2 linked regions of the Rattus norvegicus genome follow. The protein of the gene in region 1 interacts with the protein of each later gene in a biochemical or structural test. Links are inferred from orthologs where the notes say so. Each region holds a gene or a part of one and is shown in the gene's direction. Other genes may lie near its edges.

Evidence for each region.
Region 2: the proteins of Atf7ip (region 1) and Mbd1 form a complex in vitro, tested with the Homo sapiens proteins (2 studies listed by BioGRID). The link is inferred for Rattus norvegicus from reciprocal best matches to the Homo sapiens genes ATF7IP and MBD1.

What each region holds. Positions count from the first base shown.
Region 1 is NC_086022.1:171,147,688-171,163,497, forward strand, and holds part of Atf7ip (activating transcription factor 7-interacting protein 1), read left to right. Parts: exon of another isoform or gene 1-2,131; coding exon of another isoform or gene 2,132-2,136; intron 2,137-4,802; exon of another isoform or gene 4,803-4,944; intron 4,945-10,795; coding exon of another isoform or gene 10,796-10,802; coding exon 10,803-12,489; intron 12,490-15,071; coding exon 15,072-15,149; intron 15,150-15,810. UniProt on the Homo sapiens protein: Recruiter that couples transcriptional factors to general transcription apparatus and thereby modulates transcription regulation and chromatin formation. Can both act as an activator or a repressor depending on the context.
Region 2 is NC_086036.1:70,136,943-70,153,389, forward strand, and holds the start of Mbd1 (methyl-CpG-binding domain protein 1), read left to right. Parts: upstream 1-8,309; 5' UTR 8,310-8,442; intron 8,443-9,520; 5' UTR 9,521-9,535; coding exon 9,536-9,645; intron 9,646-13,290; coding exon 13,291-13,405; intron 13,406-13,494; coding exon 13,495-13,715; intron 13,716-13,793; coding exon 13,794-13,876; intron 13,877-14,058; coding exon 14,059-14,099; intron 14,100-14,433; coding exon 14,434-14,580; intron 14,581-14,674; coding exon of another isoform or gene 14,675-14,803; intron 14,804-14,988; coding exon of another isoform or gene 14,989-15,063; intron 15,064-15,173; coding exon 15,174-15,284; intron 15,285-15,365; coding exon 15,366-15,434; intron 15,435-15,933; coding exon of another isoform or gene 15,934-16,101; intron 16,102-16,432; coding exon 16,433-16,447. UniProt on the Homo sapiens protein: Transcriptional repressor that binds CpG islands in promoters where the DNA is methylated at position 5 of cytosine within CpG dinucleotides. Binding is abolished by the presence of 7-mG that is produced by DNA damage by methylmethanesulfonate (MMS).

The sequences.
Region 1 (15,810 bases):
GCAGAGATCGGTGCTGGGAACCAAACTTGGGTCCTTTGCGAGAGCCACCAGGCCAATTCCTAAAAGGCTATCCTTTTAAATGATGAAAAACATCTGTTTTGTAATTGTTAGTGTGTGGGTATGTGTGTGTGACTTTGAGTGCTGTCGGAATAGGCCACCGGGACCTCTGCAGCCGGGATCACAGATTGCTGTGAGTTTCCCGATTGTGGGTGCTGAGGAATGCTTGGTTTTCTCAAAGTAAAACTGACCAAATGTAAGTAAAAGGTGGGAAAAGAAGTTTAACTAGTACCACAGTAGATGACAATAGACATCCTAAGGTGTATAAATAGTCATATTAATCTAGATTTATCAGAGAGGATCTCCCATCACTTGTGAGGAATAAACCTAATTACTTTGTAGCTCATTGCTTAATTCATATTGCTTTCTTCTGTGATGGGGTTAATAATAGTTTATGGGCTCATGATTTAACATTTTATTTTAATCCTTTTATTAAGATGTAAATAGGGGCTGGGGATTTAACTCAGTGGTAGAGCAATTACCTAGGAAGCGCAAGGCCCTAGGTTCAGTCCCCAGCTCCGAAAAAAAGAACCAAAAAAAAAAAAAAAAAGATGTAAATATTGCTAGATTCTGGATATGCAGCAAACAAGAATAGAACATTAAGAAAAAGACTTTACTTTGTATGTAAATTCTTTAATAAGTGCTTTTATGCTGGATGAAACTCCATTTTAATGTTTAGCCATTGTGTTATCAGAGGTAGATTTACCATCTGTTTTCCAGAGCTTTTGACTGTTTATGGGTCTGTGTTTGATCCCCATCACCATAAGAACAAAACCAAAACACACAAAAAAGGAAAGCACATGAGGCAGTTGCTTGTTTTAGTAGAAATGGACTCTGACACAACCTTTGACTTCGGCAGCTATAACTTGATTAAAGTGAAATTCAAGTGTTACCTTTCTCGGCCTTTTTGTTTGTTTTTGTCTTACAATTTTCCTCATTATCCGTGTACCTCCATGCCTAGGATCCAACCCTACGGCTACATTCATGCTTGGTGAGCCCTCTTAATTTTGAGCCAAATCCCTTGCCTTTATATTCTTCTTTCACAGTTGTTATTAATAGATTACAGACTGTCACCTTTAGAAATGAGAATTCTTTCAGAGTAAATTTGTAATTTACAGAGAAAAAGGCACGCACATGCTAAGAGCCATGAGGTTTCAAGTTCAGAATGAAACATGTCTCACATCTGGACAACTGAAGATTTTTTTCCTTTTTTCTTTTTTGGTCTTTTTGGGACTGGGTTTCTCTGTGTAGCCCTGGCTGTCCTCAAACTCACTCTGTAGACCAGGCTGGCACCTAAAGAAATTTTAAACAAGTACATCTACACTGTACTAGGAACCAACTGAAACATCAAAAATGGAAATTTTGTACAAATTATTTAAGTTCAAATATATTTGACAAAATTTCCCTCAGTGATACTAATTAACTTTTGGTAAAATAATTAATAGAAGTTTGTTTTAAAAAATGAGTATGGAAATCCTTACTGTATTTAGAGGTCTGCTTTTTTGAGTTGTTTTTAGTACAGAACAAACAGACTTTTGAAAATCAATAAATGACATTCTCAAATAATTGCACAAAAAGTAGTGGAAAATGCTGTATTGTTCAGATATTTGGATTTTTTTTTCCTTGAAAGCCTGGAATTTGTTAGAACTGGGATTCAGGTCCTCACTGTTCGCCTGGAAAAGGCAACATGTATGTGCATGCACGTGTGCACACAGAAGAGCAGACAATGGCATGTTACTTGGCACGGAGCCATTTATACTTGGAGTTTGGTGAAAGGTGTCAGATAATGTTAGGTGTTATAAATTGCAAGACTTTCTCTCCAAGAAATTAAGGTTTTTCAGCCAGGAAGTTTTGTTTTTAGGCTCACATCTGTTCTAGGAATTAGGCTTGCATATTGTTTCTATTTTTAGGCTGTTGCCAGGTGGATTTAAATTTTCTCCTCTTATGGTTGCCCAAGTTCTAACTTCCTGATTGGTTACATGGCTCTGCTTTCATTAGCCAACCACAGTGACTATGCAAATTGTTTCAGTTTCTGTTTCTGTCAGAGCTGATAAGATGGCTGCAAGGGGCTCCTATGGGGTAGGTTTGTCATTTCAAGGAGGGTTTTCATAGCATGGGGTAATGAGTGTGGGTTTCTCTTAAAGGGATCTTTTGTTTTTCAAATAAAAAATCATACTGTCCATGCAAACCTCTATAAGGCTGAAAACGCCATTTGATTTTAATGGTGATATACTTTGATACTTAGACACTGTATACGTGGTACATTTATTACTTACGTGTAAATGTGTGAGCATGCTAGCTTAGAAGCTCTTAGAATGTTCTAGATTACTACCTTTGCTTTCTAAAAGAACAGACTTTTTTATTTAAAAATTATTTATTGGTCTGAGTTACATATATATAAGGTATAGTCTTTAGTGTGTTCTTTATTCTATAGTCTCTACTGTATAGTGTATGTTCATTATAATACTAGGACACTCCAGTTTTCACTATATTGTGAATGGCTTTACAAGCACATGGCACTGACATATTTAAGATGTTTTCTGGTATAGAAGTTTTGCATTTCTAAAATATGCCTATACTAAAATGCTGGAGATATAACGAGACATGCTAAAGTCCTTTTTCAAACAATGTAGATGCAGGCATTAAAACCGAATAATGTTTATTTTTAAATGATATCTTTAAAATGGTGGCAGAAATAGGATAATGGTAGCAAGATACTTAAGAATACTGGTAAAATGTGCTAAAGCTACCAGTCCAGGAAGGTAAGGAAATGTATCTCATGAGACGTGCCAGGTTTAGTTATATGTTAGGTTTGCTTGGACTCCAAAAGCATTTGTTTCATTTCAGACTCTGGCTGTCTTGGGAAAAGATAGTTTATTGTATTTTCCCCAGTAGAAGATTGTTAGGTGGTAGGGCTCAGTGCCCTGTGCTTTCATAGTTTATAGTTGTTTACTGCACACAGTGCACTTGTCCTCTGAGATAGACATGCTACAGACCTTCGTCCTATTTGGAATGAGGAAGAAGAGGAAGAGGCTTATTTGAGTATGGAGAGACAAATGTTGGTAATAGTTACATGTACCCGCCTTTGTCCAAAGCAGCAATCATACCGAGTACGTGAGCACCTGCAGGTTTGAACTCCCTAAAACAAAGTGTGAATTAACATTCAGTTTCTTGGTAGTTTTTCATCCAGATTTATTCTATGTATATGTGTGTTTGCCTGCATGTACATACAACACACACGTGTGTGCACGAATGAAACACACACACACACACACACACACACACACACACACACACACACACACAGTGCATCCTATGTACGCCTGGGGCCCAGGGAAGCCACATTTTGAGGCACCTCAGTACTGGGTGCTGGGAATTGAACCTGGTTCTCTTGAAGAACAACCAGTGTTCTCAACCATTGAGCCATCTCTCCAGCCCAGGTGGTGGGCTTTTTGTTTTATTTTGAATGTTAAAAATATGACCTAACAAAAGAGGTCAGGCTAAAGTCACAGAAAAATAATGGGTATAAAAATAAAGTAAGTGACAATTCATCGTATTATCAGACAAATGGTAGTAAACAGTGAGAAAGGTTGTTAGTATTTATTGTATAACATTATTTTTATGGCCCTGTTTTCATGAATAAATACTACAAATTTCTGAGCAGTGCAAAGCTTAGGGTTAATCAACTGAAAAATGAGGGTTTTGTCTGTTTTTAATTTATATTATCCACTCACCCATTCACCCACCTGGCCGTCCATCCTTCTATTTGGTGTGTGGGTGTGAGTTCATGTGTGCCTTGGTGGTCAGAGGACAGTCTGTGGGAATCGTCTCTCCTTGCATTCTGTGGGTCCCAGGGCCCAAATTCAGGTCATGAAGATGATGGTGTTGAAGGTCAGGTCGGCATGATGTCGAACAGGCTCTTATCAGCAAATAGGTTAGGGATTATGGGTAATGAATACAGTGAGGTTTAGGGGTAGGTTATTAGTAGTCAGGCTTGTTGAGTTGATTTTGTTAAGCCGTGTAAGGAAAAAAATTGAGTAAAACATTCACAGGCTGGAACAGTGGCTCAGTGGTTAGGAACACTGAGTTCAGTCCCAGCAGTGGCCTTAACTCGGGCTCCACGGCATCTGATGCCCTCTCTGGCTGCTGATGGCACTTGCACACATGTGACAAACATTCACATAGATGAAAACAGAAATAAATCCTAAAAATCCTATGGTTTTCAGCATCTGATTTTTTAGAAAAATATTAGTGATGTTTCTCCCAGCATGGATGTTTGTCAGAAATCCGGGCTACCTTTACTTTCGTGATTTTGTTTTATGTTCCAGGTTTTTTGTGAGTTGTATTTTTATGTGTTCTTTACTAGAGATATTAATTTGAATTAGAGCATGGTGGTTTTGTGTGTGTGTATGCGTGTGCGTGTGCGTGTGTGTGTGTGTGCGCGTGTGTGTGTGTGTGTTTTGAATCAATTTTAGTATTTATTCAGGACTATTTTTAGAAACAGTACAGACAATATATAGTTTAAATATAGACAGTAAAATGGGGGGGAACTTCTCAAACAAAAGCTGAACAGTATTATAGAAATCTTTATTAACACAAGGCATTTGAGGTTGTGGTTATAATAGGTTTCCATTTTAATTATTTCCTTTGACTTTCACGGTGGCTGTAGTTCTTAGAGCTCTTGCCCTCAGCTGCTTCCTTTGTTGCTGGGTAAGGTTTCTGATACTTTTCTCTGATTGGCTTTAGGCAGAGAAGGCTTTGAGCCAATCAGAGTGAATTTCAGTTCCCTCACAGGACTGAAGGAAGCGCTGAAGCAGCTGTTGATTTATTTCCCTTATGAGGAGATTATATAAACTAAAATTATGGCTGCAGCAAGCTCCCTCTTGGGTATGTTTGAAAAATTGCAAGGTTCACCTGTAAGGAAGGGGGAAAATGATTAGTTTAAAAATGTGTTGACTAGAAAAAACTAATAAAGATAGTGAATTTGGGGCAAATAAGAAACTCTGGTCACAGGGTTTTTTTTGTAGTATTAAAAATCCCCTCTAAAATTACCTTATAATCTACACATTTTATTGCTTTTCAAAAGCAGAGCTTATACAGTTTTTTTAGCCAACTGTGAAAGGCAATTAATTGCGCGTGTTGTAGTAAATATATTGTTAGCACCCAGTCACCAAGAGTGGACATTTTGATTTCGTTATATGAATTAAGCTGAGTCAGTTCCGTGCAGTAGGAGGCTCTGCTCTTTGCCATCCTGCCCATGTCCACAGTCCTGGTGCATTTTGGGTTTGGAAATCTATATTAGTAACGGTATGTGAAATGGTTTGAGAGATCATCCCAATTGAATTTAATATTTTGATGGCTTTTATTTATAATTTTTTTACAAATATAAGAACTATTAACCTTGTAAAAGAAAATATATTTGAATTTTATAGATTTTAACTCATTATGTAGAAATGCTATTTTTATGTATTGTTCCTGTTTAACTGATTCCTCAGATAAGTTATATTTTAGAAACATTTATGAACATTGATTAAATCCAGATAAAGTAGCATAAAAGATATAAATCTTATCCACTTATTTATGTGTACTGTATATTTAAAACAAATCATGGAATTACGACATGGAATCTGTGTTCTAGGTTATTTGTTTCAAACAAAGAACCACACCGCACTATTTCAGATCTGTGTTTCGTTAACTATGTTTCTCTGACCTTATTGTCTGTCTCCTGTTGCTGGGCAGGAAATAGAATGCTGGCTGCTGATTGGCTGAGTTTGTATGTAGCTCTTCAACAGCCACTTAAATTCTTGAGGTTTTGAGCAGGAAGGTTATAAGCTAAGACAAAACAGCTTACCTTTGGCTCATGGCTGAGATCTCTTGCTAGAAAGTGAAAGAAGTGGGTGCAGGGGAGGGGGTTCAGGAAAAAGTTCTTTAAAGAAGAGGCTCACTGCTCTTCCTTTAAAAAGAATTTATCAAAAAATTGAAAAAATTACAAGGCATAGAGACATATCAGGTAACATACTTTTCTCTGGTTATTGATGTATAAATTTCTGTAGAAAATGTTGATATTTCACCATATTTACTTGGATCCAAATATGTAAAGTAAGGACTTTATATATATATATATATATGTATATATACATATATACATATATATATATATATATATATAGTTTTTAAACTGCCTTTTGATTAAAAAAGTACTTCCGGTAAAAACTTAATTCATTACATCATGTGATGTGCTTCTAGATATGCAGACATTTTCTGCTGTAAGATAGACATGCTTTTTCTGTAAAATGAGTTGCCGTCACATGGGAGTGCTTTGACTCGTGTTGCTGCCTCACAGCGAAGCAGATTCTACAGAATAACATAGATTGTCGACACCTCAAGTCCAGATGATACCTAAAGTGAGCTTTAGGCTACCTTCTGGTAACGCAACCTTGCAGATTTGTCTGCAGGGTACACGCCCTTCCCTGATGTAAAATTTTCCTGATGAGCTTTGCTATGCAAAATAGATTTCTCGAAGCAGATTGCTGATTGGTTTGCACAGATATGTCTGAACTGGTTTGTACTTGTTGTTCATGCTACTTCCTTATTGTTTTGTCTGTTTTGTTGTTAGACTTAGAACCTATGAAAATCTGCTGAATGGCTGCAGTGTGCTCCCTTGTGGGTAGTGAAGGTATTTACCTCAGTCTCTGGCAATACTTTAGTTATTACTGAATTTAATGGCTTTGTTGCAAAAACCAACTTTACTTGGGTTGTATTTATTTGTATTAAGTGTTATTTGGTGGAGAGAGTTTAGTAATAATTTTTGTTTATATTGGCTTACTAGATTTTCTAATTTCTCTTTCTGTCTCTCTCTCTCTCTCTCTCTCTCTCTCACACACACACACACACACACACACACACACTCACTCAATGTTATTTAAGAAAAAATTTGTCTTAGAGTCTGAAAGTTACGCGTAAGCAAGCAACACACAGACTTTACATCTAGGCTCAAGCACACAGCCATTCTAGATGGCCTTTTGTGTGGTTGCAGTCTTACACTGTGACACAGGCTGGATAGGAACTGACTGTAACTCAGGTTTGCCTCAGAATTGTAATGCTCCTCCTGCCTCAGCCTTCTGGTTGCCAGGATTACCAGTATACTCTACTTTGCTTGGCCCGAATCCTTCTAATTAATTAATGTATTAATTAATGTTATGAATTAGTCACATCTCATAATTCTCAGGAAAGCCTGTATGGTAGACACAGTGCCTCCTAAGACAATTTAAGGTACACTTTTCTTTTTAACACTTTAAAAGATTGAAATGTTAGGCACCTGGTTCATCTGGGAGAAGTGGGGATTCAAATTTATAACTCTCAGCAAAGTTCATCGGTTATTTGCACTATGAAAAGTTAAGGGGTTTTTGTTGTCATTGTTTGTTTGTTTTTGTTGTTGTTTTGAGACAGGGTTTCTCTATATAGCCTTAGCAGTTCTGGAACTCAATCTGTAGACCAGGCTGGCCCAGAATTCAGAGATCCACCTGCCTCTGCATGCTACTACCTTTCCCACCCAAGTCTTGGGATTAAAGGGATGCACCACCACACTGGCTTAAGCTTTAAAAATGTTTAATTTTTTTTTTTTTTTGTTCTTTTTTTTCGGAGCTGGGGACCGAACCCAGAGCCTTGCGCTTCCTAGGCAAGCGCTCTACCACTGAGCTAAATCCCCAACCCAAAAATGTTTAATTTTAATGTAAATAATTATAGCTCTTGGTTATGCATAGACTATCTGAAAATGGGCGTTTCAAAGCTTAAAGGAATGGTGCTTGAGTATTTGAACATTTACGGTGTTCATTACAGTCGGCACAGTGAGTGCTGAGCTGTGCTGTCTGGGGTAAAGTTCACTGACAGCACCGAGCAGTAGGCATTGGAAATGCCAGGGGTTGATTTCTTGCACCAAAAAGCTTATGTAGGAAACTGTATAGGTAACAGGACTTGGAAGTGGATGAGGAAAGAAAATCTCCAAGTTTAATTTTAGACTCTTAAAATAGTACCAGTGTGCTTTTGTTTGAAGGTTTCTGTAGAGTTGAAAGATGCTTTTTCTAAGAAGTACTTTAAATAAAAAGAAAACACTAAAAACTGTTTAAATTATTGAATTAAATTCAAAAAGTGAATGCAGAATAACATAATCTGGACAGTCTTTGACAAAGTGCCATGTTCTTAGAGCTGTATTGGTCTCTGACAAACAAATCAGGCTTATTTTTATGGAAAAACATTGACTATTAACAACTTAGGTTGCTTATTTATTGTGGGTAAGTTACATCAGTGAAGGTGTTAAAACTTTGATGTAGTATAGGTTGTTTGTGGCATTTTAGCCCCATTCTTGATTGAGTAGCACTGGGAAGTATATCAACAAAAGAGAAGGGCGGTAGGGAGAGCGGATACAGCACACAGCTGCACATCTACATGTGTTCTATTCTGCCTATAGTTAATCTCTCTCTTCTTTCTTTCCTCCCTCTTCCCCCTCCCGCTTCAGTCTCTTCTACAGCTGGCTATGCTCTCCTTTTGGTGGGACAATACCCAGGACCTTCCTTCACATACCAAGCAGAAATGCTCTGCAATGAGCTTTAGTCTTAGTTCTGTCTTCTTTTAAATGCTCTTTTGCATTAACCTTTTGATAGCATAAAATTGGGGATACGGGGTGTCTTTGTCTTTCTTGTTATCTTAATGTCATTTCACAATTAAATGTAGCATCTACATCTTGATAACCTTTAGCAGATAAATTTCCTTTTGCTTGTTTAGAGTTTTTAATTAGGAGGTAGTGCTGAATATGGTCTAATGGATATTCTATGTCTGCTCAGGCAGTTTATGTGGTAAATCACACATACACATATCACACACACACACACACACACACACACACACGCACGCACGCACGCACGCACGCACGCACACACACACATGCAGCCACTCACCCACTCACCCAAATATATTGTTTTAATTTTACAGACTAGAACTTCAAAATGGAGCTATTGTCAAGGCATAGTTCCTTGGAAGGTTCTGAGGAAGGATTTGTCCAGACACATCTTCTAGCTGCCTCTAGTTGTTTGGCTTGTGATAGTTCCTGTCTCACATGGTTTTATTCTGTGCATGTCGTAGTCTCAAAGACATTAATCACTTTGCAGTAGGGCTCACCCTAGTAACCTTATATTCATTTACAATTTAAACAGTAAGAATATAGAACCCCATTCTTAATCATTTTGGGAAAAACTGTCAATTAGGCACTTTTGTGGCCCTGTATATACTAGGATGCTTCAAGACTTGCCAATGATCAATATTGCTTGGCTTTTGGATGTGAATTTTTAATGACCTTTACCTGATTAGTGTTATCTCCTAATGAAACATACTGCTTAGTCATTTATAGATAAAAGGAAGAACTATGAAAATTAGAAAATACTTTAGCAGAAAAAAGATGTGAGGATGAGGGGCTGGAGATGTAACTTTGCAGTTAAGAAAGAGTATTGGCTGCTCTCACAGGGAACCCGAGTTTGGTTCCCAGCACCAACATGGTGGCTCAGAATTATCTATAACACGAGTTCTAGAGGATTCATCACCATTTCTTCACCTCCTGCATGCACATAAAATAAAAATAAATACCTTGAAAAATATTAGATTCATTTCTGTGTATATAATATGAAAGGTGAAATTTAATTGAGGATTAATGATTAAACTTGAAGCACAAGGAAAAAGATGACGTGCAGTGCTTAGTCTTGGTTGTCACGTGAAGAGATCTAGAATCACTGAGAGGTAGGCCTCTTGGCTATGCCTGTGGATGGGTTTATCTTGATTAGGTTAATTGGGTAGAAAGACCCACCCACTGTGAGTGGCCCCATTCCCTGGGCTGGATGAGGGTCTATAGAACTGGAAAAAGTAAGGAGTGTGTGGGAGTTCATCGTGACTCTGGCAGTGGATGTGATGTGACCAGCCACTTTAACCCCAGCTGCTTCAGCCTCCCTGTCATGACCTGTGTTTCATCAAAACAAATCCGCCCTCCCCAAGCTGATTTTTTTTGTCAGTATTTTATCACAGCAACTGAAAAAGTTGCAGATGCAAATTAACCTCATCCAAAAAGTCAAAGACGTTATATTAGGGGAGAAAGCAGCAAAGCGACAATGCAGATACAAATAAGAGCATCACCAAGAGTGCACTCTTGGACAGATAGGACGCTAGCAAAATTGACCAAAGGAGAGCATATTCCAGTGTATGTAGTTTTTAAGTTGTGCAGCTGTCACTACAGAGGATGCTAGCACATTTTTATTATTTCATAGAAGAACCCTGTACTCTTAGCATTCATTTCTTGCTTTCTCCAAACCTTCAAACAGAGCTGGAGTGATGGCCCAGTGGTTGGTTAAGTGCTGCTCTTGTAGACAATGACTCATGTTTGGTTCCCAGCACCTGTTTTTTTCCATGGACTTTTTACGTTCCTGAAGCTTCTCTCATTTTTAATTCCTGTATCAAGAGTAAAACTTAGCTTTGTTCCTTCTTCGTTCTCCTGTATCGATGTTCTGCTGTGCATTGTTTTGTCCCTTTTAGATTACGTGACTAGTAAATACGAGGACTAAGACATAGTAAGGATTAAGGTTTCTGTTGTCTTTGTTTTATATTTATATGATCTAAATTGTTCATATTTCAACTTTCATTAAACTTGTAATTAAATGACTTGTCTCAATCATTGAAATCCTTTTCTTTTTATTTAAAGATTCAAAATGGATAATATAGAGGAACCACAGAAAAAAGTCTTCAAGGCTCGAAAAACAATGCGAGCAAGTGATCGCCAGCAGCTCGACGCTGTGCACAGAGTCAAAGAGGAGCTGCTGAGAACTGACGGGAAACTGCTAAATGGGAACCATGAAAATGGAGACCTGGATCCTACTTCACCTTTGGAAAACACAGATTGTATTCAAGATAAAGAAGAAGTGAATGGTGTTGATGGGATTTGTTTTGAATCTGAAGAAAGTAAAACGGAATGGAAAGAAACACCGTGTATCCCCACTGTTGGTGTAAAAAACAAGCAAGAAGATTTGAATAGTGAAGCTTTGTCCCCCAGTATAACTTCTGATCTTGCTTCTAAAGTAACCACTGAACCAGCTTCTGGTACTCCAGCCTCCGATAACCCAGGATGTGATACCCTAGCCTCCGATAACCCAGGGTGTGATACCCTAGCCTCCGATAATCCAGCCTCTGATAATCCAGCCTCCGATAACCCAGCCTCTGATAACCCAGGCTCTGGTGATCTGGCTGCAGGAGAGCTGACGACTAGAGTACCAACCGCTGGTGAGTCCGCCTGTGAGGAGCTCCCCTCCAGCCATCCATCCTCTAGCGATCCCTCTTCCAGTGATCCCACCTTTAGTGATCCCTGCTGTAGTGATCCTGTCTCTGGAGATACTGCTTCTGAAGAACCCACCTCTGATGCTCTTGCCTCTGGTGACTCCGCTTCTGGTGACTCCGCTTCTGGTGAGCCAGTGTCTCATGAGCCAGCTTCAAGTGAGCCAGCTTCAGAAGAAAGAGTCACAGGTGCAGTGGCGTCTTGTGACCTGGCCTCTGGGGAGTCAGCTTTGGATGATTGTGTCACCTCTGGTGACTCGCCTTCTGATGATCTGCCTTCTAGTGAGGAGTCGCTTCGTACGTCTGTCTGCAGCAGACTGGCTTCTGGTGAGTTGATTCCTGGTGAGCTCACTGTGGAATCAGCCACTGACAGTTTTAAACCAAGTTCAGTGCCGGTTTGTGAACCAGGTCCTGACACTGACAAGACAGAGCAGAATAGCAAAAACAATGATGATTGTCCAGACAGGAATGACGACGACGAAGACTTAGCCCAAATTCAAAGTAAAGATGCATTTGACGAGGGGAATAAAGTGAACAGTAATGTTGCTGAGAAGGAAGGAACTCTAGAAACACACAGTGCAATTATTCATTCTGATCATCTACCTCCAGAAAATACGAAGAAGGTAGAGGAAGACGCTGTTGCCGAGCCTGCTCTTGAGGAAGAGGCCATCTCCAGCAGCATGGAAGTTGACCAAAGTGAAAAGGACAGGCATAAAAGTCCTGTAGAACTTGTTGACGCTGCCAGTGAGGACCCCACGGAGGAGGGCAAGAAGAATACTGTCTCAGACAACACGGACTCTATGGAAACAGATGAGATCATCCCTATCTTGGAAAAACTTGCACCCACTGAGGATGAACTCAGTTGCTTTTCAAAAACTTCTCTCCTTCCAGTTGAAACAAGTCAAGACTTGGAGGATAAAATGGAGGGTTCTTTTGGCTCACCCTCAAAACAAGAAAGTAGTGAGAATTTGCCAAAAGAAGCCTTTTTAGTCCTTTCTGATGAAGAGGATATTTCGTGTGGAAAAGATGAGTCTGAAGTTCTAGCACAGAATAAGACGAGCTCTCCAGGTTAGCTGATTAAGGATTTTTATTTGCTTTAATAAACTGTTTAATACAACATACTCAATAATATCAATATTAGTGATCCATGAGTAAGGTTTTAAAGAAATGTTGGTTTTAAAAGGGGAGAAGTTGGGGGCCAAGGAGTTCAAAGTCAACTTTGGCTACATAAGTAGTTTGAGGCTAGCCTAGGCTACCTGAGACCTAGTCTCAAACCATTATCAAAATAAATAGAAAAAAAGTCTTACTTTTACAAAGTTAGAAGAACTAGTATGTCATAGTAATCTGGAGACGAGCTGTTGCATATTGCTAAATGATAGCTGATACTTTCTAAATGATTATAATCATAGTCTAAGGAGACTAACCTAGTATTCCTTTTCTGGGAAAGTTCAGACATTAGTGGATGTCTGTCCAAACATCGTATGCACACTTCAGCTGCTAGTCAGTCGCTTTCTTCGCTCTCAGATCAAGCCCTCCAGCTGCATGGACAAAGCTAGCGCGCGTTTCTTCTCCTGTTAAATCTGGCTATTCTCAAACTTCACATAGAGCCTTAGTCCTCAGCCTTCCTAGTGCTGTGACCCCTTAATACGGTTCCTGATGAAGTGGTGACCCCCAATCATAAAATCTTTTTTGTTGCTACTTTATAATTGTAATTTTGCTACTGTTTTTTTTTTTTTTACCATAATGTAAATATTTTATATGCAGATGGTCTTAGCTGACCCCATGAAAGGGTCATTTGACCACAAAGGAGTGGTAACCCACAGGATAAAAAGCACTAACCGGAAAGATAGCATTTGCACCATTGTACTGGTATAAAGCTTAGAAAATGTGTGGAAAAGGTAGGTTTTCCTGATTCCACATTCTCTTGATGTATTTTACAAGATTGAAAATGTTTATTGGCCTTTTGTACTTACTTATGTATGGATTACCTGTTACTTCCTCTTTTTTTTTTTTTAAACCACAATGAGTATATTTCTATCAACTAATCTATAGGACTTTGTAGTTTTTTGTTTGGTGTGCATGTGTGTGTGCCTTTGTGTGTGTTTGTGTGTTTATGTGTCTAAATATCCTTACAGATTCAAACCAAAGCAAGGGGTTGGCAGGCTGTAGCCCATCAGTTTAGCAGGACAGAAGCAAGCCTGTTTGTTTATTATATTACATATAGTTATTGTTACTTCTGCACAGGACAGCATCAAAGGTTTTGGCATTACCAGAACTATAAGATCTGGTCACCAACTTTAAGTGATCTTACTGTCTAGTTTTGACAGGCTAGAGCGAAGCTCATGGAAGTTAGAACTATGAAAACATAGCAACTTAATGAGAAGGCCGTTCTTGAGAAGAGCAGAGGTGTCATGACAACCTGGCCTACCCAGAAGGATGGAGTCTATAAGAACTAATGAGCTAGTAAGCTTTGTATTGGATGAGTTTTAGAAACCCCTGTTCTGAGCAAAGGCATCTGATTATTTTATGTTAGAGAGATGGCGCAATGCTGGATATTCATTTGCTACTCTTGTCGCCGAAGACCAAAGCACCCATATGGTACCTCACAACCTCCCATAACTCTACCTCTGGAAAGACAGAGCTCTTTTCTGTCTCTTCAGTTACCTACACACACACACATACACACACACACACACACACACACACACACACACACACACTCATATACATACACACTCATACACACACACATACACACACATATACACACACACTCTCTCACACACACACACACACACACACACACACACACACACACTCAGACATACACATACACATCCATACCCCCACACAGGCACACCATACACCCAAAGACAGTTTGTACAATCCCTAGAGACTGAGCAAAAAGTTAAAGAAATAATGGACTCTACTTCCTTGTTACAACTTGTTAACATTTTTTCTTATGAGTTCTTTCTATGATACAATGTAAAATGTACCATACATTCTAATCCTTGTCATCTATTCTAAAACTCAATATATGTTCTGTCATAAGTGCCATGAATCTAGTAGGCAGATCTGACAAATGGTAATTCAGCACAGAAGATTTTGAGTTGTTTAGACCTTAGCAGTGTGTCATTTATCATTATCATTTTGATAACTGTGGCTACTGCTCTAGTTTTACTATGATTATTTATTGTTAGGTGGTCAGCATACATGCAAAGGCCAGAGGATAAGGAGTCAGTTCTCTTTACCATGTACAGCTTGGGCATAGATGTCAGGCTGGCTGGCATATGTCCTTAACTCTCTGTGCCACCTTGCTGGCTCTGGTTTATTTTAATAACAGAAAGTCAAGAAATCAGAATGATTTATAATAGTTGTTACCTATTATAGAAAATTAATAAGTAAAATTATTGACTTTGAATTTAAGTATTTTTCATATTCTGTTTATTAAACATAAATACGGCTTGAATGTGAACCTGCTCTTAAACTTCTCAGTTTGTGCTCCCATATTCTCTAAATTTCCTATTTTGTGACTTCAGTTTTGTAAATCATTTGTTCAGTAGTCCGAATGGTGACCAAAAATGTGAATTAATGAGGTGTTCCTGATTTCCATAGAAATAAGGCTCCCTTTTCCACATTTGTCCTAACAGAGGGAGAAAGGAGTGAGAAGGACAGCAAAGCTGAGGAAGAGAAGCGAGTGCCCGATGAGGAGCGGCCGCCTGGGAGAAGTATGCATGCTCCAGCTCTTGTCTTGGTGTGGCCTCAGTCATGGGCTCCCGTTTCTCCCCACGGATGGTTGCAGCACTTTTTAACTTAAGCCACAACTTACTGATGTTGTTTATGAGTAGCTCAGGGTTCTTTGGCTGTGTTTCGAATAGGAATGTGTTTACTGTGTTTGTTCTGTTCTCCATTCTGCAGAGGACGCAGACTCCCAGTAAGGCTCTTATTAGGCTGAGGGCAGGGGGCTTTGCCTGGCTGTGGTCAGTGAGTGCCGTGAGTTTCTGTCCACAGCAGATGCATGGGGAAGGAGCTGGAGCTGGTGCTGGAGACCTAGAAGAAGCTAGAAGCCAGGGTTACTTTGGTTGACTTTTGTCTATATTAAAAAGTTGTTAATGATATTAAATAAATGCATATATAGGTGTGAATACATTTCTTTGCTATTCTAACAAAGCTAAATAGTGTTTCAGCTCCTCTCTGCCTTATATCCTGAACATTATTTTACAGATCAAAGGAAATAGGTTCCACTTTGGTGGCCATAAACGATGTTGGAATACAAGTGATTTAGGTTTTGAAATGCTGAAAAGCCAGTCCAGGTCTTCAAAGGACTTCAAGAATGTTAACATTTGAAAAAAATGTTTTAAGTAAAATCTTTGAATGTGTATTCTGTGC
Region 2 (16,447 bases), on another chromosome or scaffold:
TGATTTTAAAATATTAGAAGATATGGTTTGCAGAAAACAAGCTCAAGAATTCAGCTTTGATGGGGTAGCGCGGACTATGGATGGGCGAGTGATCCTGCCAACAAAAGAAGGAATAAGTTATGTTCAGAGACTGCACCAGTTGACTCATTTAGGGGCAGATAAACTAAAACAACTTGTCAAAGCTTCTAAATACCATGTGTTAAATTTAAATTCAACAATTAGGCAGGTGGTTGACTCTTGCAAGGCCTGTACACTTACTAACGCCGCTAAGCCCTATCAAGAACCTGGAAAGAGAAGACGAGGAGACCGACCAGGAGTCCACTGGGAAGTGGATTTTACTGAAATAAAGCCAGGAAAATATGGTAATAAATATCTATTAGTCTTTGTTGATACCTTTTCAGGATGGGTGGAGGCTTTCCCCACAAAATCCGAAACTGCTCAGGTGGTGGCCAAGAAGATTCTTGAAGAAATCTTACCCCGGTTTGGGGTACCCAAGGTAATCGGCTCGGATAATGGGCCAGCTTTTGTTGCCCAGGTAAGTCAGGGATTGGCCTTGCAACTGGGGACAGATTGGAAATTACATTGTGCATATAGACCCCAGAGTTCAGGACAGGTAGAAAGGATGAATAGAACTCTAAAAGAGACCCTAACTAAATTAGCCATTGAGACCGGTGGTAAAGACTGGGTGACTCTCCTTCCCTTTGCGCTTCTTAGGGTCCGAAACACACCCGGACGTTTCGGCCTCACTCCTTATGAGATTCTCCATGGGGGACCGCCCCCCTTGACTGAGTCCAGTGGGATATTGGATCCCAGTGCCGACTCCTCCTCATCCTCTGCTTTGTTTACTCATCTAAAGGCTCTGGAAGTCATCAGAACACAGATCTGGGACCAGATAAAAGAAGCCTACGCACCGGGAACTTCAGAGGTGCCCCACAGGTTCCAGGTTGGAGATTCGGTCTTAGTCAGACGACATCGAGCTGGCACCTTGGAGCCTCGGTGGAAAGGACCATATCTGGTGTTGCTGACCACCCCCATGGCAGTAAAGGTGGATGGGATCGCTGCTTGGATACACGCCTCCCACGTCAAGAAGACACCCAGCCAAAATGAAGACAACAACTGGATGGTGGCAACTACTAATAATCCTCTTAAGCTTCGCCTGTGCCGCAGAGGTAAAGAGCCAAGATGCAGGAATATGGCCAGGACACATAGGAGCTGCGAATCCTCCGCTGCCAGCTAAAAAACCCACGCCTCCGAAACCCACGCCATCGAAACCGGAAATCATCCAGACCGCTGCCGCCGCCAATGCCGCCAAAGCCGCCGCTACTGCTGCCGTCACTGCTGCTGCTGATGCAAACCGAGGCCCCGCTACTACTCGTGTTCCCAACGCCAAAACCACCAGACCTGACCGTGAGCACCCACCAGATGATTCAGTTAAGACTGCTCCTCACTCAGGTCAGGTTTACCTACCAAATTACAACCCACATCAGCCTTTAATTCTAACCTGGCAGGTTCTTGGTCCTGCTCTGGATCAGGTTTTATTCACCACTTCCAAAATAGCACCGCCAGGGACATGGTGGCCTGACCTAGCTTTCTGCCTCAAACAGATTATCCCCACTTCCATTCCCCCTAATCAAGTAAGAAGCTATGGGTTTTACTGCTGCCCAGAGCATAGTAAGCAGACTATATGAGGGGGACCAGCCTCACATTATTGTGCTAAATGGAGTTGTGTTTCTTCCAATGACGGTGATTGGAAATGGGACAGCGAATATACTCATGACAGGGCTACCTTTTCTTTTGAAAACTCTGGGCCAGGGAGGTATGTCATAATAGAACCATATAAAAGGTTTGACTGTCGCCCTGCTGATTTAGATAGAATTCGGATCAAATTTACAGACACTGGTAAAAATTATGATACCCAAACATGGATAAGGGGCATGAGATGGGGGGTAGTTTTTAATGACTATAATAACAAGCCTGGATCATCAGTCATGGTTCGCTTAAGCCTCAGTAGCCCCCCAGCCCAACCTGTAGGTCCTAATGTCCTAGCTAAAGAACCTCCCTCCACTTCAAATACTCCCATACCCCCGGACACTGAAAATCGTCTGTTTAGCTTAACACAAGGGGCATTCCTGGTCCTGAATCATACCAATCCTAACGTTACTCAGTCTTGTTGGTTGTGCTATGCCTCTAGCCCCCCATATTATGAAGGTATTGCTCAGACCAGGGGTTACAACAAAACAACAGACCCCTCTCAATGCCCTTGGGGGGAAAACAGAAAATTAACTCTAACAGCAGTCTCAGGAAGTGGACTTTGTTTAGGCCAGGTACCTCATGATAAACAGCACCTTTGTAATCAAACACAAACCGTCCAGCCTACGGGAGGTAATCAGTATCTAGTACCCCCCCTAGACACAGCATGGGCCTGCAACACTGGTCTCACTCCTTGTGTATCAACTTCTGTTTTCAATACTTCCAAAGATTACTGTATTTTGGTTCAACTCGTTCCTAGACTCCTATATCATGATGATAGCTCTTTTGTAGATGAGTTTGATCACCGAGGTCGCTGGAAGAGAGAGCCTATCACCTTGACCTTTGCAGTACTCATGGGACTGGGGATAGCGGCTGGAGTTGGTTCGGGTGCCGCTGCATTAATTCAGACCCCCCAATATTATGAGGAATTACGAGCAGCTATGGATACTGACCTTAGATCCATAGAACAATCTATAACTAAACTAGAAGAGTCTTTAACCTCCCTGTCTGAAGTGGTACTACAGAATAGAAGGGGACTAGATTTATTATTCCTCAAGGAAGGAGGACTCTGTGCTGCTCTAAAAGAAGAATGTTGTTTTTATGTTGATCATTCTGGAGTGATCAAGGATTCGATGGCTAAACTTAGAGAGCGCTTAGATATACGGAAAAAAGAAAGAGAAGACAGACAGGGATGGTTTGAGAGTTGGTTTAATAAGTCCCCATGGTTAACCACTCTCCTCTCTACTTTAGTTGGGCCCATTATAATTCTCATGCTTCTACTTACTTTCGGGCCATGTATACTCAATAGGCTGGTGGCATTTATAAAAGAAAGAGTGAGTGCTGTTCAGGTACTAGTCCTGCGACAACAGTACCAAGAGTTACAATGGGATGAACAATGGCTCTAAGATTAGAGCTGATGAAAAAGAAGAAGTGGGGAATGAAGGATTAAAAATTAATAATAAGCCGCCTAGCTACCCAAAAAGAAGAAGTAGGGGCCTAGCTACCCAGAAAGAAGAAGTAGGGTCTGTGAGAACATGAACTTTTCACCCCTCCCTTGCTGTACAATGGTTCCCGGAACATTCTTGCATGAAAAGTTTCCTGGAACAGCCACAATGACCCATAGCCTCCGGCCACAATGTTCCAATGGCCCTGTAAAATGTCACTACCCCTAATCACAATGTCACAAAGTCCTGGGTGTGTTGCCTAGTGTTACACATGACTAGTATATGACCTAATTGTATGGGCAGTTTAGGGTTTTGGAATTCCCCTCCTCCCTCCCTCTTGATCCCCCTGGTTTGTGGTTTTTTCCTTTATAAGCTCTGTGAAAATTCAGGTCGGGGTCGAACTCCTCTACTCCCTGTGTGGTGTATGAGTCTCGACCCCAGCATGCTGGCCTGAGCTCTCGTTTCATCTCGCTTACAATAAAGCTTCCTCGTGTGGTTACAGCAAGTCGGTGTCTGTGTCCTACTGGGTGCGCGTCTTTCCCGAGACTTGAGTGGGAGGATCCCTTTGGGGGTCTTTCAACACTGTCACTTTCGTGGCCATGCTGGACCTGGCTCCTTCCACCCTGCTCAACCAGTGTCTTAGCTGGGGTTTTACTGCTGTGAACAGACACCATGACCAAGACAACTCTTATAAGGACAACATTTAATTGGGGTTTGCTTACAGGGTCAGAGGTTTGGTTCATTATCATCAAGGCTGCTTTGAGGAGACTCACTTCCAGGCAACAAGGATGAGGGTCTTAAAGCTTACGTCCAAAATGACACACTCCTCCAATAAGGCCACACTTACTCCAACAAGGCTACACCTACTCGAACAAGGCCACATCTCCAAATAGTGCTATTTTCTGGGCCAACCATATTCAAACCATCACAACCACGCAACTCAAAAACCTGCTTCCCTCTAATCCTTCCATTAGTTAGCTGTAGCCATTTTTATTTAACCAATAGTCTGCACAACAAAGGGTTGTAAATGTCAGAATTCACTCATAGGCCTAGACCTTTATGTACAGAATTTAGCATTATAATACCTCAAAGAAAAACACAGGGGTGGTGAGAGGGACATCTGAATCCCAGGGCCAACGCCCTCTTAAACTATACCTTCCTGGATCTCTAGTCTCAGAAAGAAAACAACTCCTTGTGACCCACTTCTCCCAGAGTTTCCCTGACCTTAGAGCCAAACTTAAATCTCTAGAGAAAGAACTTCTGACTTCACAGGAAGTAGTCTGAGCTGTGGCCTTCAACATGTATCATAGGAGAGATGAAAAAGCCCCCAACAAAAATGCCTGAAGCCTTTCAGGTGGCCATAGCAGCTGCCTAAGCTGGCAGAGCCCAAGAACTTCCAGGACGGTCAGGAGGGTAATCGGGTTTGGGTCTGTCCAAACCCTCACAAACCATTCCTATCGTGCCCATGGTGCCAGCAAGAAGGACAATAGGCCCTGACTGTTCTGATGTCCTTCAAGGGATGAAGGCATCAAGCCAAGATCACCCTCCAGCCTACTAGGTCTGGTCATGGGCAACTGATGGGGCCTATGCTCTATTGGTCCAACCACTGCTGTCTCCAACAGGTAGGCTTGGGTAGTTATCTTAGTATCAGGGCAATCCATCTCTTTTCTTCTGGACAGTGGGGCCATGTTTTCAGTCCTGATGACGTTTGGGAGACCCACCTGTCTGGTGTAGCTCTTACTTACTTGAACATCAAATGACCTCTACCTCTAACCAACAGCCCATCCTAATAGGGTTTGGAAATTCAAAGGCCAGATCAGTCCCCTATAACTCCCTTCTCTATTTCTTCTTCCTCAGGGCTTCACCGCTTATGCCTATTCTCTCTATGACCCAAAAGAAGATGACTGCAAAAAGTGGTCAGAAACTTAAAATGGTTACCCATATTGATCCTGCAAATACCACGGGACAAATCTGGGCCATACTAATTGTATATCTGCTAAGGAATCATACTCTGCCTGGGCACTCTGGAGAGTGCTGGTCGTGTCTGTCCCTTACAGGTCAAACTCACAACCACCATTGGACTACTACACTCTCTCACCTCACTTCTCATTAATTGCTCTGAGCCAAATACTGCCACCACCCCTATCTCTCTCATATCTTTAAGGTATTGAAGATTGCTTTTTAACTCCTCAGGGCACAGTGGATTCCCTCAGACCACGTTAATACTTTGACTCTGTGCACTATCACCCCTCCCTTATGTCCGAACATTCCCAACACCTCGCTTGATGTTTACCACCTAGCACTTGGGTTTACCACTGCCTACCCTGTGGTCTGGGACTTGTGCCTTGGTGGTTTTCCCCCGAAATTAGGAATGGTACCTAGTAGAGAACCCTTGACGATCCCAATCAGAGGGTTTATAGCAACATGGTACGACAAATGAGAGGTCAGGTCCTACCCTTTCTCAAAGTCCTAGGTATAATCACTGGCATTTCCACTGGAGTGGAGGGACTACTGAAGGATTAAAAATTAATAATAAGCCGCCTAGCTACCCAAAAAGAAGAAGTAGGGGCCTAGCTACCCAGAAAGAAGAAGTAGGGTCTGTGAGAACATGAACTTTTCACCCCTCCCTTGCTGTACAATGGTTCCCGGAACATTCTTGCATGAAAAGTTTCCTGGAACAGCCACAATGACCCATAGCCTCCGGCCACAATGTTCCAATGGCCCTGTAAAATGTCACTACCCCTAATCACAATGTCACAAAGTCCTGGGTGTGTTGCCTAGTGTTACACATGACTAGTATATGACCTAATTGTATGGGCAGTTTAGGGTTTTGGAATTCCCCTCCTCCCTCCCTCTTGATCCCCCTGGTTTGTGGTTTTTTCCTTTATAAGCTCTGTGAAAATTCAGGTCGGGGTCGAACTCCTCTACTCCCTGTGTGGTGTATGAGTCTCGACCCCAGCATGCTGGCCTGAGCTCTCGTTTCATCTCGCTTACAATAAAGCTTCCTCGTGTGGTTACAGCAAGTCGGTGTCTGTGTCCTACTGGGTGCGCGTCTTTCCCGAGACTTGAGTGGGAGGATCCCTTCGGGGGTCTTTCACTACTTTCCTAGATATTTATCACCAGTTTTCATCTAAGTGCATCCAGAGTTCTTAACAGGTAACTCAGACCACCCTTACCCTGTAGGGCCAAAGAGACTCACTGGCCACCATATTGCTACAAAATCGGTGAGGGTAGGATTTACTACCAGCAGAGAAAGGTATCTTTGGGTCTTTCTCAGAGAAGAATGATGCTTCTACGTCAACCAGTTGGTTACGGTAAAAAGACAAGATCTGACAACTCCAGAAAGATCTCCAAAAAAAAAAAAAAAAAAAGTAAGAAATGACTCAGTGTCTCTGGCCAGTGGATCATCGACTGTCTAGTATGGAACTGCATACTACCCTTCTTAACCCTCCTCCTCCTAAGGCCTTCTAGTTGCACCTTCCTTTATAAACTTCTTGTCTAGGTTTCTTCAACAATAAATCCAAAAGATTTCTAACCAGACTCTGTAAACAGTGTCTATTACAGGATTTACCTTACCTATGGGGCCAGGAGACTCTCAATTATATACCCTGATGGTGAAGGTTAAGTTCTTCTCCCCAAGGATTTTGATGCCCCCATTCAGCAGGTAGTCAAATGATAACATTGCCCTTTCTGGGCCCCTGATTGTTTATCAATAGTAAACAAAAGTTGTGTGTGTGTGTGTGTGTGTGTGTGTGTGTGTGTTACACACAATGGGGCTGAAGGTAGAAAACACCTTTTGACTGCCAGAGTTGTCAGTAGAAACAAGAGGGTGGGCTCCGCTATTCTCATTCTTCTCCTTACAAGGACAGGAATGGCTGGATCAACAGACTTAGGAGCTTTATGTTAGCCCTAAGGAACCAAAACTTGTGACTTCTGAGTTCCTACGGGCAAAATAGTACCATTTAGCCCAACATGAATATGAATCAGTGATTTGATCCACATGATTCAGAACCAGTGGAGAATGTAGTGTGGCCCAAATCAAGACACTTTCCTCAGGTGTGCTTTACTTTACCTCAGGGCTTCAGTCTATCAGCAGAACCTGGAAACAACTCCAGGGAATCCTCAAAGTCTCTTTATCCATGTCCCCAAAATGTGTAATTACTGTGCAGTGATTAACTGCTAGCTCTGACTTCTTTAAACATGCTTATGGTTGTATGCAAGGTGGAAGAAAAGCATTTTCTCACATAGCTACAAATTCCTCATAAATGAACCAATTGTGGTTTTGCCTTTAAAACTCCCCCTTCCCTTTTAGCCTGGGTTTCAGTCTCTTATCTAGATCTGGTGGGTGCAGTTAGCTGGCCAGCTTAATAAAATTCAGCTAATTGGATTTCATCGAGTGATCTTTCCCAGTCGTCTGGAACTCTCCAACTCTGTAACACACATAACACAGCAGTGCCGAGGAGCAGGTGTGTGAAGCACGCAAAACGGAGTCGTCTTAAAGCAAAATAAATTACCTTGGTCAGTTCACCATTCTCTCCTATTGGGCCTCTGAGGAATGGCAATCTCTCCCTTGGCGCCCTCATTATATTTGCTTGCATACCACGCCTCCTCCTTGTTTCCCAAGAAGGGACCCTGGCCAGGGTGCTGTGATCCTATTCACGAAGTGGGTACCAGTCCTGAAGAAGGTAATCACAGGAACAAAGGAGCTGTGTCTCCGGGAAAAGGAAGTGGACAGGCTTAACTTCGTTGCTGGTGGTTTTTGTGGAGACGTAAATTAAGAGTGGGCCGAGCCAGCGAGGCAATTCACGCCCCCTTGTGTCTGGAGCCACTTTGGAGACCAGCAGCAGGGAAGATTGCATTGACTGGGCACCATCCTCGGTGCGCAGGCGCACAGTCAAGAGAGACCCGGCGGGCTGCGGGTGTTGTCAGTGCGCAGGCGCTGCAGGTTCCCGACAAACCGCGCGCCCCTGAAACCGCAATACGCAGGCGCGGAGCCTCCCCATTGAGGGCACGCGTGACAAGGCTGCACACACAGGTGCTGGTCCTAGTCGGAGCCCCAAAGGCAAGCATTGGGTTTCCGGTTCCGGGACTAACCAACCGCCGCAGAGGCGACAACTACTGTTTTGGAAGAGGCTGCGGTGGAAGAGGAGGAAGAAGAAGAGTAGAACCGGCGGGTCGCGCAAGCGGGATCCTTCCCATGGGTCCACCGGCCTAGAGCCGAGGAAGCTGCGAGCCTGGTGTCAAGCTGGTGAGATAGCGGTGGGAGTGGCGAGAGCTCAGGAGGAGTCTGTGGAGGCGCCGAACGCTAGCGGGGAGACGCGAAGGGCCCTCACGTCAGGGGAAGGAATGGCTACTTCCGGATATTGAAAGAGAGGACTGGGGGGACTGGATAAGAAGACAGAAAAGGAAAAGATGTGGCTCAGGACATTGACAGTGATGTTGAGATTATAGGACCAGGATGGCCAGGAGAAGAAGAGAGAGAACGTTCAGAGAGTCATTGGGCCTTCGTGTTAACAGGATAGAAATGGGGTCCCAAAGCTGATAATGCAAGGATAGGGCCTCGAGACAGTAGAAATAGTAGGGTTAGAATAATGAGGGACGGACTGGAGACTCGTGGCGAACAAAAAGGAAGTAGAATGTCTGATGGTTGGGAGGCTATGGCGTTGTCCTGGAACACAGGCTAAGAAATAAGAGAGGCAGGTCACTGTGGAGGAACAAGGAAGTTTCACAAGATGATAAGAGAAATGGAGAATGATACGTACAGTTAAGAGAAAGAGTAGCTAACACTGGCCATAGGGGTGAGCAATAGAGTCATTTGAGACTGAGACTGGAGAGGAGTTATGGATCGGAATAAGTGAGGGAAAAATAAACTTTGGGGAGAGCTCTTGAACGTAAGGGGAACAGAACACATGAGAGGCTTCCAGCCTGAGAAATGGCAAGAATGTTTGATCCAGTGTATGGAGGAATCCAGGACTCAGACACAGAGATGCAGCTAGAGCACTGCAAGACATTGGAAATTCAGGTGAAGGAAAGTTTAAATGTGTGGTTAGAACACTGGTGTAGTATCCTGAGAAGGAAAGAATTGGGGGCCTCTTACCCAGAGTAGGAGGAACAAGTCTTCTCAGACTGAGGAGGGGTAATATGCATGTTTGGAGGAGAACAAAAAGGAGGGATGGGACTGTTAAGTCAAAGACTGGGAGTATTTCCTGCACCAAGGACATACTTGTGCTAATCTGGGGTTAAGTATTAAAGGAAACGTATGGCTTTTGTGGCCTGGAAATAATTGGCCACTTTTCCCCATACTTTACCTTCTTCCAATCTTGCAGGCTTCTGAAGCATCTATGGCTGAGGCCTGGCAGGACTGCCCAGCCCTGGGCCCTGGCTGGAAACGCCGAGAGGCCTTTCGAAAGTCAGGGGCCTCGTGTGGACGCTCAGACATCTATTATCGGAGGTAACGGGTGGGCTGTGGACAGCGTTCAGTGGAGTTGGACATCGTTAGTAATTAAAGGGGGTGGTGTGTTTAAATCTATGGATGTGGTTAAAGTTGTGCACATAGTCCTTGTTAAAAGTTTTGTGTTTTCTTAATCACCTATTCTTAATAAAGTTTATTTGATCAAAGTCGATACTCACAGTACATTTGTGATTATTCACAGACACACATGGGATAGCTAAAGAATTTGAATTGCCTAGTGCATGTATTTGGAATCAAAGTTGAATAAGAACTCTTATATATTCTCTCTCTCTCTCATTCTTTCTGGTTCTATAAACTGGTCCACCGTCTATTTAGAGCCATATTTTTGTTGTTGGCAAATTTGTTGTTTAAAATGATTCCCAAATCAATTGCTGAAGTATTTTCTAGTGCTCCGAGAGCAAGGATACTGCCTTTTCTCCTTGCCAGATAGGCTTCTTACACGCATGAATTGCAATGCTATCCGGTTGAGTTACAGCGTTCAAAATCAGAAATGGTCCATCCGGAAAGAGAAGAGGAAGCATGTTCAGATGTGTGTGAGGCTGTTCTGGAAAGAGCAGATACTGTTGTAGGGTATTTAATCACACTGTGAACCCTGGGATTAGTTGTATTTACTGGGGGGGGGGGGGAAACCTGGGGTTAGCTGTGGTGTGGCTGAACCTTAGGTCAAGAGGCAGAACAAGCAGCCAGTTGACAGGAAGTGAGCATAAGATTATTAAAGAATTATGGAGAGTAAGAGGTAGTCAGAAGGGTGGACAGAGGGATCCACAGTAGAAGGGAGGACATTCAGTTTGAGGAAGGGATTTTGCATGAGTAGGGACTGCTTGGGCTGTCAGCTGAGGAGGAAGGTCTGCTGGGTGCTCTCTCTGCCTCTCTGAGCTGTCATGCTCTCACCCCAGCATCTGGCTCCCAAGTCTTCTGTGGTAAAATCGAATGCCTGAGATTTTGTTTAAACACCACAAAATTAGGAACAACAGTAAACAGCAAAATTTGTGAAACGGTGAACCAATGGGCAGTAAAGCCTGGTGACCTGCATTGTTCTAAGGAAAGCCAAAGACTTGTCAGTGGGCACTAGAGAAACATAAACATCGGGGGTTGGGGATTTAGCTCAGTGGTAGAGCGCTTGCCTAGGAAGCGCAAGGCCCTGGGTTCGGTCCCCAGCTCCGAAAAAAAGAACCAAAAAAAAAAAAAAAAAAAAAAAAAAAAACCAGAGAAACATAAACATCTCAGCTGATGCTGGCTGGCTTGCATGTTTCAGAAGGTGATATGATGTAAAAACATGGTACTTATAGTACAGGTTCTGTACGGCAGGTATCTTTAGAAAAACAAAATATCAGCAGGCAAACCTAGATAAAACATCCTCTAAAGCCAGTGGCTCTTACTCTTTAACAGTCCTGGAGTCATTCGTAAGAAACAAATGTTACAGTGTTTTTAAGCAAAGACACATAAAACAGGACTATTGGTCAGTTGCTTGAAAATGTGTCAGGCTTGCTGGAACCAACCCCGTTTCTCCCGTAGGCAGAGTGTTCCTTGTTGTAAGAATTCAGGATTTGTAGCAACTAAATAATATATAATTATCATATATGATGAGAATTGACTCTAAACATGTCAACATTATAGTTTATAAGCATGGTATTACTGATGCAACTATTAAAAGTTTTACACTCTTCCTGTATATTTAAGTTGCCATTCCCTAGAAGAATGTAATAAAATTTCTTATTTTTTTTCACATGAGCTTGTATAAAAATTAAAAACCTTCTAAGTAATTGTGCATGTACATATGTACATGCATCAGGTTAGTAAATGAGTTTGTTACTTTTGTGGACGCAGGTAGGAAATGTGTTACTTCTGGGCCAGCAATAACAAAGTTTCTCACAGTAGGATCAGAATCCATAATGCCATGCTTTTGACATTTCTCTGAATCCCAATTCCCATAGGATGATATGAAGAGGGCTCAGTAGTCTCTGTGCTGTACTATGCCTAGGAAAGGCCCCCTGTCTGTTTGAACTTGTATAACCAAGTATCAGTTCAGTAAGTGCCTTTTCTAAAGTGACTTGTTTTTACAAACAAGGAGTAGATAGTTTGTTTCGAGAGACAGTGACTGCCTCTCACAGCTCAGAGGTGAAAAGACCTGGAGCACCGTCTTTCAGCATTAATGATGCTTACACCGTGTTTTGCATATAGTTTCATTTTCGTGTTTTAAAGATATTTCTGTTACAAACTTTTTTGATTACTCATTTTTGCATGCATTACAACATATTTAAGTCCTGAGAGTGTTAGTAATGTTCATAGAGCCTCGAGTTTGTCACCACTCCATAAACTAAGCATGGCGGTTGGTATACTAATGAAATCCTAGCACTAGGGGGTAGGGGTGGGTAGAGACGGGAGGATTAGAAGTTCTGGGTCATGTTTCTTTATGAGACCTCCACCTTAAAGCAAAACAATACATATTTATGTGTTACTTTTCTTTTTTTTTTTAAAGATTTATTTATTACTTACATGTATGCCTGCAGGTCAGAAGAGGGCATAGGATCTCATTACAGATGGTTGTGAGCCACCATGTGGTTGCTGGGAATTAAACTCAGGACCTCTGGGAAAACAGTCAGTGCTCTTAACCTCTGAGCCATCTCTCCAACCTCTACATGTTACTTAATATTTCTGTATCTTGTATTGATTTTTACTTGTATAATTTTTTAACACTAGTGTTACATGTTGTAAGTATATTTATGTTTCTTTGTTTTTAGTATTTATTTCTGAGACAGGATCGCTACAGAGCCCTGGAGTTCACTAGGTAGACCAGGCTGGTCTTGAACTCAGAGAAATCCATCCCCCTGCCTCTGCCTCCCAAGTGCTGGAATTGAAGGCATGCAACACTGTGTCTAGCCTATGTATTGTGTCTATATACAGTTAGCAGTAGTAGTACAATCTGAGAAGTATACAGTGACTACAGTTACACAAACCCAGGTGATACCATTCACTGCTATACTATACATCTAAGCTATATTCATGTAGTTGTACATTGCTTACTACTACTGATACATTCTGAGAAACATGTTATTTAATGGGCTGTCATGTGAAGAAAACTAGGACATGGTAGTATCATCAGACAACATAATCTTGCAAGACCATATGTAGTTAGTGATGGAAGCAACATTGAGAACCATATAGCTGTATGTGTAGGCTGTGGCGTACTGTTCCTGTGTTGACTCCTACCTGACGTCCTGTATGTCATTTTGCTGTAGGCACTGCATTAATTAGACTTGTTTACAGCAACACCATTGCAGATGCCTAAATAATGCTTGTTGTTATGACATGAAAATGCTTAAAGTATTGCCAGAAAATAGAACTTTCCACTGTATTATGATTTTATGGAATTACCGTGAATATGTGATGTTATAGATCAAAAGGGGGTTCACAGTTATATTATTTATTAACATTTGTATGCATGCTGGTATTTACATTCACATTTTGAGTTCCTGTTACTTACAGTGGGGTAGGCCTTGTGTGGGGCACACAGTCAGACTGCAGGCTGCTTCCTGCACCTCACCGGATGGGTGAGGATGTGTGAGTGGCTTGTCATTGTCATTGGCCCCATCTTGGTGCCAAGTCATTCTGGTTCATTCTCAGCCCCACAGGAGAAAAGATCCGAAGCAAAATTGAGCTGACTCGATACCTGGGCCCTGCATGCGATCTTACCCTGTTTGACTTCAGACAAGGCATCTTATGCCACCCAGTTCCCAAGGTACTTGACAAGGTTGGTGCCCATACCAGGGCAGTTGTGTCACATGACACCCTGGCATTAATCTGCATGCTTCTTGCCTTCATCTTCAGACCCATCCCTTGGCTGTCCCCAGCAAGAAGAAAAAGAAGACTTCTAAACCAGCCAAGGCTAAGAAACAGCAGGTTGGGCCACAGAGAAGTGAGGTCAGGAAAGAGACTCCACGGGAAGGAAATAAGGTCGCTCCTGCCACAGCTTTATTACCTGTGACTGCGTCTGCGCCTGCACCTGTGCCTGTGCCTGTGTCTGCACCTGCGCCTGCACCTGCACCTTTGTGAGTGTTGGCTACAGTGGCCAGGTGGGCAAGGCCAAGGTGGGATGGGAGGTGCTGATCCCTGCTCTTTCACTTTAGGTGCTGTGAGAATTGTGGAATCCACCTGTCATGGGATGGTATCAAAAGGGAGAGACGCAGGACATTGTGCAAAGACTGCCGAGGTAAAGGGAATTAGACAGGCCACGCTGGAGGCTATATGGTAGAGGCTTACAGTATATCTGGAGTCAGCCTGTGAGCCCCACTCTTGCTATAGGTAAAATGGTAAAAGTTGGGGTGAAGGTAGTAGCTGAAGCCACATATCTAATGGCCTGGTTTCCGTTTCTCTCCCTTCTTCTTCCACCAGCACAGAGAATTGCCTTCAACCGAGAACAGCGAATGTTTAAGGTAAGAACACTATGTCTGTGTAGTCTACAGGGAAGCAGTGTGTGGTAGGGCTAAGAGAGAGTTTAGGATCCATGCATTGGTTTTTGTTTTTTTAGATAGGGATTTGGCTGTTGGTTTGTTCATAGATCCAGTAATGGGAATTAATGTGCTATCAGTAGACATGGATGCACTTAACAGAGCACGTGGAGGAGGCATCGTAGTGGCCTTGGTGTTGGCAAGCTGGTCAGCTATGGCAAGGAGGCTAGTGGGAGACTGGCATAGTAGGGGTGTGAGCATCTGGAGAGCAGCGGTCCTGGAGCCAGGGCTTCTGAGCTTACCCATCTGTCTCCGGCAGCGAGTTGGCTGTGGGGAGTGCACAGCTTGCCTGGTGAAAGAAGACTGCGGGGTGTGCTCCATCTGCTGCCTGCAGCTGCCCAACGATGTGGCCTCAGGGCTCTTCTGCAAGTGTGAGCAGAGACGCTGCCTGCGGATTGTGGAGAAGGTGAGTCCAGTCACATGGAGTGGGTGCAGGCTCACCTCAGTCCCTGGCCTTCGTAGCCCTTACTCCAGACATCATACCTCCGGCCTCCCCACAGAACCGAGGGTGTGGTGTGTGTCGGGGTTGTCAGACCCAAGAGGACTGTGGCCATTGCCGCATCTGCCTTCGCTTTCCCCGCCCTGGTCTCAAGCGCCAGTGGAGGTGTTTGCAACGGCGCTGTTTTTGGGTGAGTCAGGCTGAAGGGACTGGTGATGGTGGAGCCAAGGCTAGACCAGAGCTCATTCTGCTTTTAAATTCTTCACCAGCACTGCTGTTGCTTCCTGCCAGTCTGGCTTTCCTGCCTCATGTCTTATTTTCTTTTCTGCCCCATGTTCGTCTCCTTGGTTCTGCCCACCTGCCTTTCTCTGCCAGCACCTTGCTCATCGCTTCCGAGGCCACCCTCAAGGATGCCAGCAGCGCCCTCCCCACGTTGTGGTTCCTCCCACTGTCAGTGCCTTACTGCACACTGCGTGACCATTCAGTGCGTGCTTTCTGTGCTCCCTGGGGTCCAGTGTCTACCGGTGCCACCAGGCCTTAACTGATCTTTTGGCTTCTAGGGTAAATATGATCATAGTAAGAGAGGCCCGAGGGTAGCTTCTCGACGTCACTCCCGAGCCCCGCCACTTCCTCCACACGCTGCGTCACAGCATCCAGAGCCCACAGAACTGGTAATGCCCTGGTGGGCAGGGGGAAGGCACAATCCCGCACTCCTCAGAACCTGCCTGACCCCAGCCTGTTTGCCTCTGCAGCACATCAGCGACCAAACGCCCACAGCACCTGCTGAGTTCGTCTATGACTGTGTAGAGGAGGACGAGCTAGTGAGTGGCCCCGCTCCCTGGATAAGCCTGGGCTCTCCTGCTGCTTCTTTAACCCCAAGGAAGCAGATGCTGTACTAGAACTAGTAGTGGGTAATAGTGAGTACCAGGGTGGGATAAGCAATTATCGGGGAAGGAATTAGGAGTTAGCAGCACAGTGACAGTGCTTATTCTCAAATGAGCCGGCATTGATGGCTGGTGCAGCACAAGCAGGCTGAATAGTGACCATCACAAGGGTACAGAGAAACACTCATATAGCTTAAGTCAATACAGCTGGCGTAGGAGTGAGAACGGATGGGAAGTCAGCAGAGTCCTGGTGGAAGTGAGGTCCAGAGGTACTTGCTGTCTCCATAGCAGATGCTGTAATGCTGGCATAGTGAGTGGACCGTTCCCGAGTCACAGACACTGAGGAGAGTTAGACTGAGCCTGGTGTGTAGCTAGCCCCTCCACGAGGGTGTTGAGGATGGCCCTTAGTGATGGCACCATCGTTCCCTCCACCCAGCAGCCCTATACGAACCAGCGGCAGAACCGCAAGTGTGGGGCCTGTGCAGCCTGCCTACGGCGGATGGACTGTGGCCACTGCGACTTCTGCTGTGACAAGCCCAAATTCGGGGGCAGCAACCAGAAGCGCCAGAAGTGTCGTTGGCGCCAGTGCCTGCAGTTTGCCATGGTGGGTGGGGCAGGAGGGGTTAGGTGCATGGACTAGGCAGGACCTGGCCCACCTCATCCCCCAGTACTTGGGAGTGGTGGCCAAGCCTAGTAGATGGGTGGGTGGTCTAGTAACTCTAGTTGAGGATGAACAGACATTGTGCTGGGGTAAATGAGTCCATCTGGTACTGCCGTTGGTAACAGGAGACTGAGCGGCAGGCTTGGGTGAGAAGTCATGAAGCAGCAGACTGTGCTGGTCTGATGGGAACTTAGCAGGCTCACTGAGTAGGGCAGGTGGGCATGGGCGGTCCGATGGCACCAGCTGACCACAGCACCCAATCTTATTCTCACAGAAGCGGCTGCTGCCC